Linked DNA regions of Tribolium castaneum. The protein of the gene in region 1 purifies or fractionates together with the protein of each later gene. This does not show direct contact. Links are inferred from orthologs where the notes say so. Each region holds a gene or a part of one and is shown in the gene's direction. Other genes may lie near its edges.

Region 1 (4,132 bases):
TACAGGGCAAATAACAGTTATCTACAGTAACTACAGTGCGGCCTCGATTATTCGAACCATTACTTATACTGAGGAATGTTTAAGTACTCTAATTACTTACTGACTAGCTAATGTGCTGCTGGATCACTGATTGACTTTGTTTTGTCACAAGTGAACGAAACGGTAATTGCGTACCTAACACCAGAAGTCACTCGTTCGACAAAATGGGGATTCTCAGCACCTGAGGTGAACATCAAGACTCTTCCTTTCCTGGGCTCTACTGTAACATTTTTCATCGGTTTCTCGGCATCGTCTACAAACACGAAACGTCCTCCTTTAAAATCGTTAGAAAAATCCGTGAGATACAACAACGATGTGTAATGAAATGACTCATAAGTTTCCTGAAAAAAATATTTGAAAACTAACTTTGATAAATTAAAATAGGCACCTTGTCCACATGAATGTGCCAATACTCATCGTGGGGCGTCTTTGACTCCAAGTTGGACAATTTCGAAAAAAAAGTTGGATGCGTCAAGTACAGACTTTCACTGTCTATACCGAAATTTTCAGCAATTGCATGTTTGATCTTATTTTTGACAATTTTATAAATTGCTAAATCCGACGCTGTGATGAACTTTTCTGACCCTTTCAGGGTGTAAATATTTACAAATTTCTCCCCAAACGAAAGGGCACCTGAGTGGATGTCCAAGATTGAAGCGCCTCCAGAGGAGCCCCCTAGACTGATTCCTTTCTTGGCCACATTTAGCAGAGTTTCTGCTTCGTTAATTGTGACAAGTTTATCGGAGACAAACCTCCCGCATTTAATTGGAACACAAGTGGGGAATTGTTTAATTTCATCCAAATATTTGGTGTCACAGTCCACCGTTTGCCCCCTCATGGGTAAAATATCCTTTTGCTTCGCCAACGACACTTCTTTGCCATCCTTTGACGTGTACCAAACGTATAAGAGAACTCCTAATATGACAATACCTCGGCTCCAAATGCGCTGATTTGGGAACTTTGGCATGGGGCCATAACGGCTAAAATGTACAAAAGATCAGAACGCTTAACGTGGAATAATAAAAATCGTACTAAGGTGTTGGTGTTTCTTTCACATCGTTATTTTTCTTTTCACCGTTCTTGCGTTTTTGTGCCTTTGTTATTCCGGTCATAACCTAAAAAATTCTAATAATTTGTGTCCAAAAGTGTATTGGTAGATCACACGTTTGTCATTTACATCCAATTCCTGGTGGAAATTACATCAAATTGTAAAATTAACGAGTAATTAAAAAAACATCCCTTATTTTGACATCTCCATTTTTTTGACACATTTCATAACCTAAAACTCGGGCAAATATAACCTAATATTCGAGAACTCGTGTCAGTTTGCAACAGTTTTTTTACAACAAATCGAAAAGAACAAAGGGTTTGAATGCAAAAAGCATAAAATTACTTTCAAGTGCCACGTAATTACACAATGATAGCAGAAAACAGGTATTTTTTTAGGCCTATTATGTTTCAACTAAATTGTATTTTTATTTGATAAACAGCGATTTAAATCCTTCGGCCCCATGTGCCGAAATAATCGACGACATTGAGGACCTTGTATCCGCTCAAGACATAACACCGAAAGAACGATACAGTTCGCGTAAAAACGTTAAAGTCAAAGCTAAAAAGAGGGTAAAATTTGTGTCTTAAAGTTCGGCAAAAATTATGCATTTGTTTGTAGGACAAAAAGATTGAAAATGTGGAGCCAGTCAGCGGTGAAAATATTCCAGGGACTCAAAAAATTTACATTAAAACGTGGGGCTGTGCCCACAACAGCTCAGACACTGAGTACATGGCTGGTCAGTTGACTGCTTACGGTTACAAATTGACCGAAAACAAAAAAGAGGCCGACCTTTGGTTACTCAATAGTTGTACAGTCAAAAACCCAGCTGAGGATCACTTTAGGTAATTTTTTTTTACCACATTATTGATAAAATCTTTCAATAATTTTTACAGAAATCAAATTCAAGAGGCCAAAGAACTAGGAAAGTACATTGTTGTGGCCGGTTGTGTCCCGCAGGGCGCCCCTAAAGCCTCCTTCATTCAAGGTCTTAGCATTATAGGGGTGCAGCAAATTGACAGAGTTGTGGAAGTTGTTGAGGAGACTTTGAAGGGAAATACGGTCAAATTGTTGGGTACAAAAAAAGAACAAGGGAAAAAAATTGGGGGTGCTTCTTTGCTGTTGCCTAAAGTTAGGCGAAATCCCTTGATTGAAATTATTGCTATCAATACAGGGTGTTTAAATCAGTGTACTTACTGTAAAACTAAACATGCCAGGGGGGAATTAGGAAGTTATCCACCTGAAGAGATCGTGGAAAGGGCGAAACAAGCTTTTGAAGAGGGTGTTGTTGAGATATGGCTCACGTCGGAAGATACAGGTATTTAATTTTGCATCATAGTGAGCTATGGCAACGTTTAAAACCCGAATATATGTTTTTCCCCAAATATTTTTCATTGCAGAAGTAACAAACTTAATAATCACTGCATTGGGACAAAAATGATATTTTTGTTTTTGCGTTTTTGCAGGTTTTTCAAATAGAATTGCAAATATTTTGCAAAATATCGTTAAAATAATTGTTACAATAAAAATTAGAGTACATATTTTACCCAGTTCTTGTTAGGTTCTAGCTAGAGTTGTTCTAACAACTGAGTTTATCTATTAAAGAATCGTAAATGTTTGCAATGTGACGAGCAGAGTGAAGACAAGTCCTTCAAAAAAAACTGTCGTCGCACTTTGGCCTGAAATTTAATTCTGGCTTATTTTAGGCACATATGGAAGGGACATCGGGACTTCGCTCCCGGAGCTGCTTTGGAAGCTTGTCGAAGTAATTCCTGAAGGCTGTCGCTTGAGATTAGGGATGACCAACCCCCCTTACATCCTCGAACACTTATCAGAAGTTGCAAAAATAATGAACCACCCCCGTGTGTACAGTTTTCTCCACGTTCCAGTCCAATCCGGAAGCGACCAAGTCCTCTCCGACATGAAACGCGAATACTTCCGAAAAGATTTTGAACACGTTGTTGATTTCCTCCAATCGCAAATCCCAGGCATGACGATTGCCACCGACATAATCTGTGGATTTCCCACAGAAACGGAAAAAGATTTTGAAGACACTTTATCCCTATGCGAAAAATACAAGTTCCCTAGTTTATTTATCAACCAGTTCTTCCCAAGGCCTGGCACACCGGCGGCTCTGCTTCCGAGAATACCAGCGCAAGAAGTGAAAGGCAGAACTAAGCGGTTGACCGATTTGTTTTATTCGTATCAGCCGTATGATAAGAAAGTAGGGGAAGTACAGGAGGTGCTAGTAACGGAAGTGTCCCACGATAAGAAACATTACGTGGGGCATAACAAATTTTACGAGCAAGTTTTGGTGCCGAAAGATGAGAAGTACATGGGGAAGCTGGTCACTGTGAAAATTGTGAGTGCGACGAAATTCTCAATGACGGGGGAACCCCTAAGCCAGGTCATGCCTGGAATTGCCAAGCCATTACAACACGGCGAAGTTTCGGGAGTCAAGTTGAAGAAAACGGACGATGTGAGGGTGCTAATCACCCTAGTTGTGTTAGGAGTGTCTATTATTTTCAGATTCTTGTGGATGATACTTTAAGTTGTTAAATTTTATTATTAAACAAATATAAATTATTTGATTTCAAAAGAATTTTTTTGGATTCACCTTTGCGCAAGTGTTACGTTGGCAGTACTAATTCATAGTCCAGTATTTTTTTCGGGAAGAATTCTCTAAGCAGTACCAACCTTTAGTTGTCAATATACAAATCATCGGTTTCAGAAAATGGTAATGATCTGTTAGGGCGTATGACACAACAACAGAACCCTGACTAACGACTAGAGGTTGAAATAAACTTGTATTTTTGAAAATTTTATCAATTTCTAATTCGAATTAGTAGGCGCGCTCGCAGTTGACAAAACTGACACTTGACAGCATCACAAAAGTTGACGTTTATTTATTTTGAGCGTGTATGATAATGGCTGATGCGAATGAATTGCCGGAAAACAGTCGTGGAAAGTCTCACACAGCCCCATTTAGTGAGGAGTCTGATTCCGAGGAGTCCGTTCAACCTGTCCTTCTGGACTTGGGCGACG
Region 2 (4,069 bases), about 31 Mb from region 1:
TTGATTTGTTAGTTCAAACGTCAAAAATAAATTATATAATATATTCTTTTTATTAGGGTTGTCCAAATTAAAAAAATATAGTAATATCAAAAATAAAATATGAGCTCAGAATAAATTATGCACACGCAATAAGTGTCAAAAAGTCAGTAGCAAATTGTACCCAACTGTACTAGAGCTGTCTAAAATTTAAAAATATGTCAATAGTACACAACACAATCATATATGAAAACAGATTTATCTAGGGCTTTTCAAACTTTAAAACAGCAAAATTATCCATTTTTTAATATTGGAAAGTGAAAAAATAAATGAAAAAAGCTTGACTAAGTGCCAAATTGCTTAATAAGGGTTGTCCAAATTTGTATAAACGTCCGAATTCCGAGTAAATCCAAAAGGAAAAGTGCAATTATGGTCAATTTAGTGAAAACGTGTGCCGATTTAAGTCCGCAAAGTCGCTTCAGAGAAGCAATCATCAAATCAATTACCGTTTGTTATTTCTTGCGAATGTCTTTATCAGCAGCGCTTCCAAAAACCGCGTCGATGTCAGAGATTTCATTCATTAAAGCGACGATATCGTGCCATTAGCGAGTAATTCCGGGAAAATGAATTTACCAGCGATAATAATCGAGCAGGCGACGCTGTAATTGAAACATGAGAAGGTCGGAGGTTATCTGTTTGTTTCGCCTGTCATTTGTCATCCTCATCACTACGTCAATTTATCACCCTTACCCCAGTCCGTCGTGGTTGAGCTTGAGGTTCTCGATGGAGATGTTGAGCTCGTTGAAGGCCCTGAAGGGCAGGTCGTCCAGCTTGCTGAAGGAGATCTTGAGCGAGACGCGGTCCTCGGGCGCGAAGTGGCCCTTGAGGAGGCGCACCACCTGGTCGTAGGAGGTCATCTTGTCGCAGTGGATGGTGGTGAGCTTGGTGGAGTCCATGCGGCAGGTGCAGGGCGCGATCTCCTTCCACATGGGGCAGTGGGGGATGCCCACGGAGAGGCCCAGGATGGAGAGCAGCAGGGCCGACATGGTGAAGGCGGTTGTCATCGGAGGAGGCCCTTGGTGTTGGCTTTGAGCCGGTCAATGTGTGACTGAGTGACGGTGGCGCCTAAATTTTCTTGAGTGGAGCGCGGCGCCACTGCCCGCCATATCTCTAGCGGTGTCCCCGGGGTACAACGTGTGTGCAACTCCACCAAGATAATTAGATGCATTCGGCCAGAACGAGATTTATTATTGCGAGGAGGACGTGGCGCCCGACGAACGACTGCACTTCCTCATTTAGATTGGCGCCGAAGCCGCAGGCCCTTCTTACCTTACCTTCACACACTTACCCAACAAACCCTTGGACGCGCAAACGCTCACTACCTAGTGCTCAGTGGTAAGTGGGTTTTTTTGTGTCAGGATTTTTTCGATGCCGACTGATGGAAACGTAAGTATTAAGTTTTATTTTCCTTAGAAAAATACAGGTGACCAAAAAATTACCAACACAGGCTGTCCCATGTAAATGTAAGAAAATTTATTTTTTTTCATTAATCCAAAATTATTTTCAAGTAGGCATACAAGATGTTTTTGAGATTTGCTACAATTCAAACTTACGAGTATGTTTTTTTTTAATGGAATTGCATTTATGGGTGTAGCTTTTAATATTGATGTTTCTAAACTAATTAAAGTCACTTTGTGCTTTATCACCATCCGAGAGATTTTTTGAATCTACCTGCATGTATATAGTATATACAGCGTGCTCCAAAACTGGCGCACCAACTCAATGGTGTGTGGTAGAGAAGTGGTTACATATAATGGTAAAAATAGTAAAAAAACTATTTGTATTAAAGTTATTGATAAATAACGAATTTTAAATAAGTGATATGTGGCAACGTTGCCCAACAGTCGTGATCGTAATAGAATTTGAGCAACAATAAAAATAAATTATTTTTGAAACGGTTTCCTAGGAAATAATTCCCAGTGTTGGCACATCTACACATTGTGATTTTTTGGATGAATTTTAAATTAAAAAAACTGCTAAAATCTGATAGTAAATTTTAAAATAATTATTCATCGTTTTGTTACGGAACGATTACCTGGTATGAAACATAAAAATATAAAAAAACAATGAAAACTAAAGAAGTTAACACAATAAGTTTGTAGCTCCAGATTTTTTAAAATATAACTTTGGGAATTTTTTCAACATTTTTCCCGTAATATGGACTTGCTTCTCAATAACGTACCACTGAGTTGGTGCGCCAGTTTTTGAGCACCCTGTAGCCTGTACAGGATGTTCCAAGTTTTATGGCCAAAAATAAATATAAACAATAGCGAATTAATTATGCTACCTTTTGATACTTTAATATTGTTTAGTTCAAAGTTTTAAGGTATTGTTGTCATTATTAAAACCCAATTTTCTGAAAAATTGTTTTTAAGTTATTGGTGTTTTTTTTAATTTGGCAACATTTAGTAATGTTACATGGTAATACTTTTGGTTAATATTTTTTTAAATGTATAAAAATAGGTGTACTTGTACGGCGTTGCCATTTTTTGTTTTTAATTTCAGCCAAATGAAAGGTTTTGTGATTTTTTTATCGAAAATAGTGTTCTGTATAGCTCCATCTAGCTGCTCTTAAGAGCCTATCCACGACTTTTGACCCACCCGATATAATCAGTTAATCGCAGAATTAAGATCTTTGAAATTAAATATTTCTATTTCTATTTCTATTTCTATTTCTATTTCTATTTCTATTTCTATTTCTATTTCTATTTCTATTTCTATTTCTATTTCTATTTCTATTTCTATTTCTATTTCTATTTCTATTTCTATTTCTATTTCTATTTCTATTTCTATTTCTATTTCTATTTCTATTTCTATTTCTATTTCTATTTCTATTTCTATTTCTATTTCTATTTCTATTTCTATTTCTATTTCTATTTCTATTTCTATTTCTATTTCTATTTCTATTTCTATTTCTATTTCTATTTCTATTTCTATTTCTATTTCTGTTTCTGTTTCTGTTTCTGTTTCTTTTTCTTTTTCATACTTAATTATTTTTTTTACATGTGAATTTTTGTAGAATTTTTCTACGATTAATATTAATTCGCTTCATAAAATTATAATTCTAAAACGAACAATGAACGATGAATGTTGTTTAGTGCATAAAAAAAATGACACTAGTTCCAAAAGATAATTAATCAATTCAAAAAACCCAACGTAGTGAGCCGAATTATTATTAAATAGTAATATGAATTTTTATTATATTTTTTTTCTAAACGTGCAAAAATATAATATAAAAAACAACACATTTAGCTAGGACTAGGTCATATCAGAAAACATTACATTATTGTGAATATTTTTTATTATAAAAATTAACACTAACAAATCATAATTTGTTAAACCATTTTCTATTTAATCAAGTCATCCTGACATTATTGCCTAAGCATATAAAGTACATACTTTTGCTGTTTAATAAATAAAATAAGCTGAGTTCCGTCATAAATAAAATCATACGACGTATCATCTATATCAATAATTTAGATTAAGCAATATATTTTAATAATATTTAATTTAGGAATGGTCGAAAAATTCTGAAAACATTCACAATTTTTAGTATTATAGTTTCCGAGAAAAACGCAAAAATTATGACATTTTTTTCACTTTTCAAACGCTGATTACGGCGAAACTAAAAGGTCTAGGAGCGTCTTATTCCACCTTCTCATCTTCCATTATAAGTTGTCTAAAAAAATAAAAATACAAAATAAAAAAATATGTAAAGATTTTTGACCTAATTTGTACATTTCTGGATTTTGTGAGGGAATCTTGCAAAACAATCAGTTTTTGTTCAAATAATCTAAAAAAAAAATTTTATTCGAATAAATTTTGCGAAATGTTTCTCTGTTTCTCACAATTATTTTTGAATAAATTTCACTTCAAGCGAAATTAATCGAAAAAATTTTGCCATTTTTGGTCTATTTTAATGACTTTAAGGCTTCTTTTTAAGAGTATTTTGTGAAATAATAAGGTTTCTGACTGGAATGTGCGTTAAAACAATTGAAAAAAACAAGTGCTAGACTAAATGTGCTCTTTTTTT

The links. The genes of interacting proteins can lie anywhere in the genome.
Region 2: the proteins of threonylcarbamoyladenosine tRNA methylthiotransferase (region 1) and galla-2 purify together in Homo sapiens (affinity purification with mass spectrometry; 3 studies listed by BioGRID and IntAct, with this or other methods). This does not show direct contact. The link is inferred for Tribolium castaneum from reciprocal best matches to the Homo sapiens genes CDKAL1 and CIAO2B.

The regions. Positions count from the first base shown.
Region 1 is NC_087394.1:32,857,735-32,861,866, forward strand, and holds threonylcarbamoyladenosine tRNA methylthiotransferase, read left to right. Parts: upstream 1-1,332; 5' UTR 1,333-1,456; coding exon 1,457-1,473; intron 1,474-1,529; coding exon 1,530-1,659; intron 1,660-1,708; coding exon 1,709-1,932; intron 1,933-1,983; coding exon 1,984-2,405; intron 2,406-2,793; coding exon 2,794-3,638; 3' UTR 3,639-3,689; downstream 3,690-4,132. Other genes in the region: 2-oxoglutarate and iron-dependent oxygenase domain-containing protein 3, read right to left, coding at 108-380, 428-1,019, 1,072-1,154, 1,204-1,212; l(3)04053 (endosome-associated-trafficking regulator 1), read left to right, coding at 4,009-4,132. UniProt on the Homo sapiens protein: Catalyzes the methylthiolation of N6-threonylcarbamoyladenosine (t(6)A), leading to the formation of 2-methylthio-N6-threonylcarbamoyladenosine (ms(2)t(6)A) at position 37 in tRNAs that read codons beginning with adenine.
Region 2 is NC_087394.1:1,674,520-1,678,588, reverse strand, and holds the start of galla-2 (MIP18 family protein galla-2), read left to right. Parts: upstream 1-1,269; 5' UTR 1,270-1,404; coding exon 1,405-1,422; intron 1,423-4,069. Other genes in the region: ltl (insulin-like growth factor-binding protein complex acid labile subunit), read right to left, coding at 727-1,040.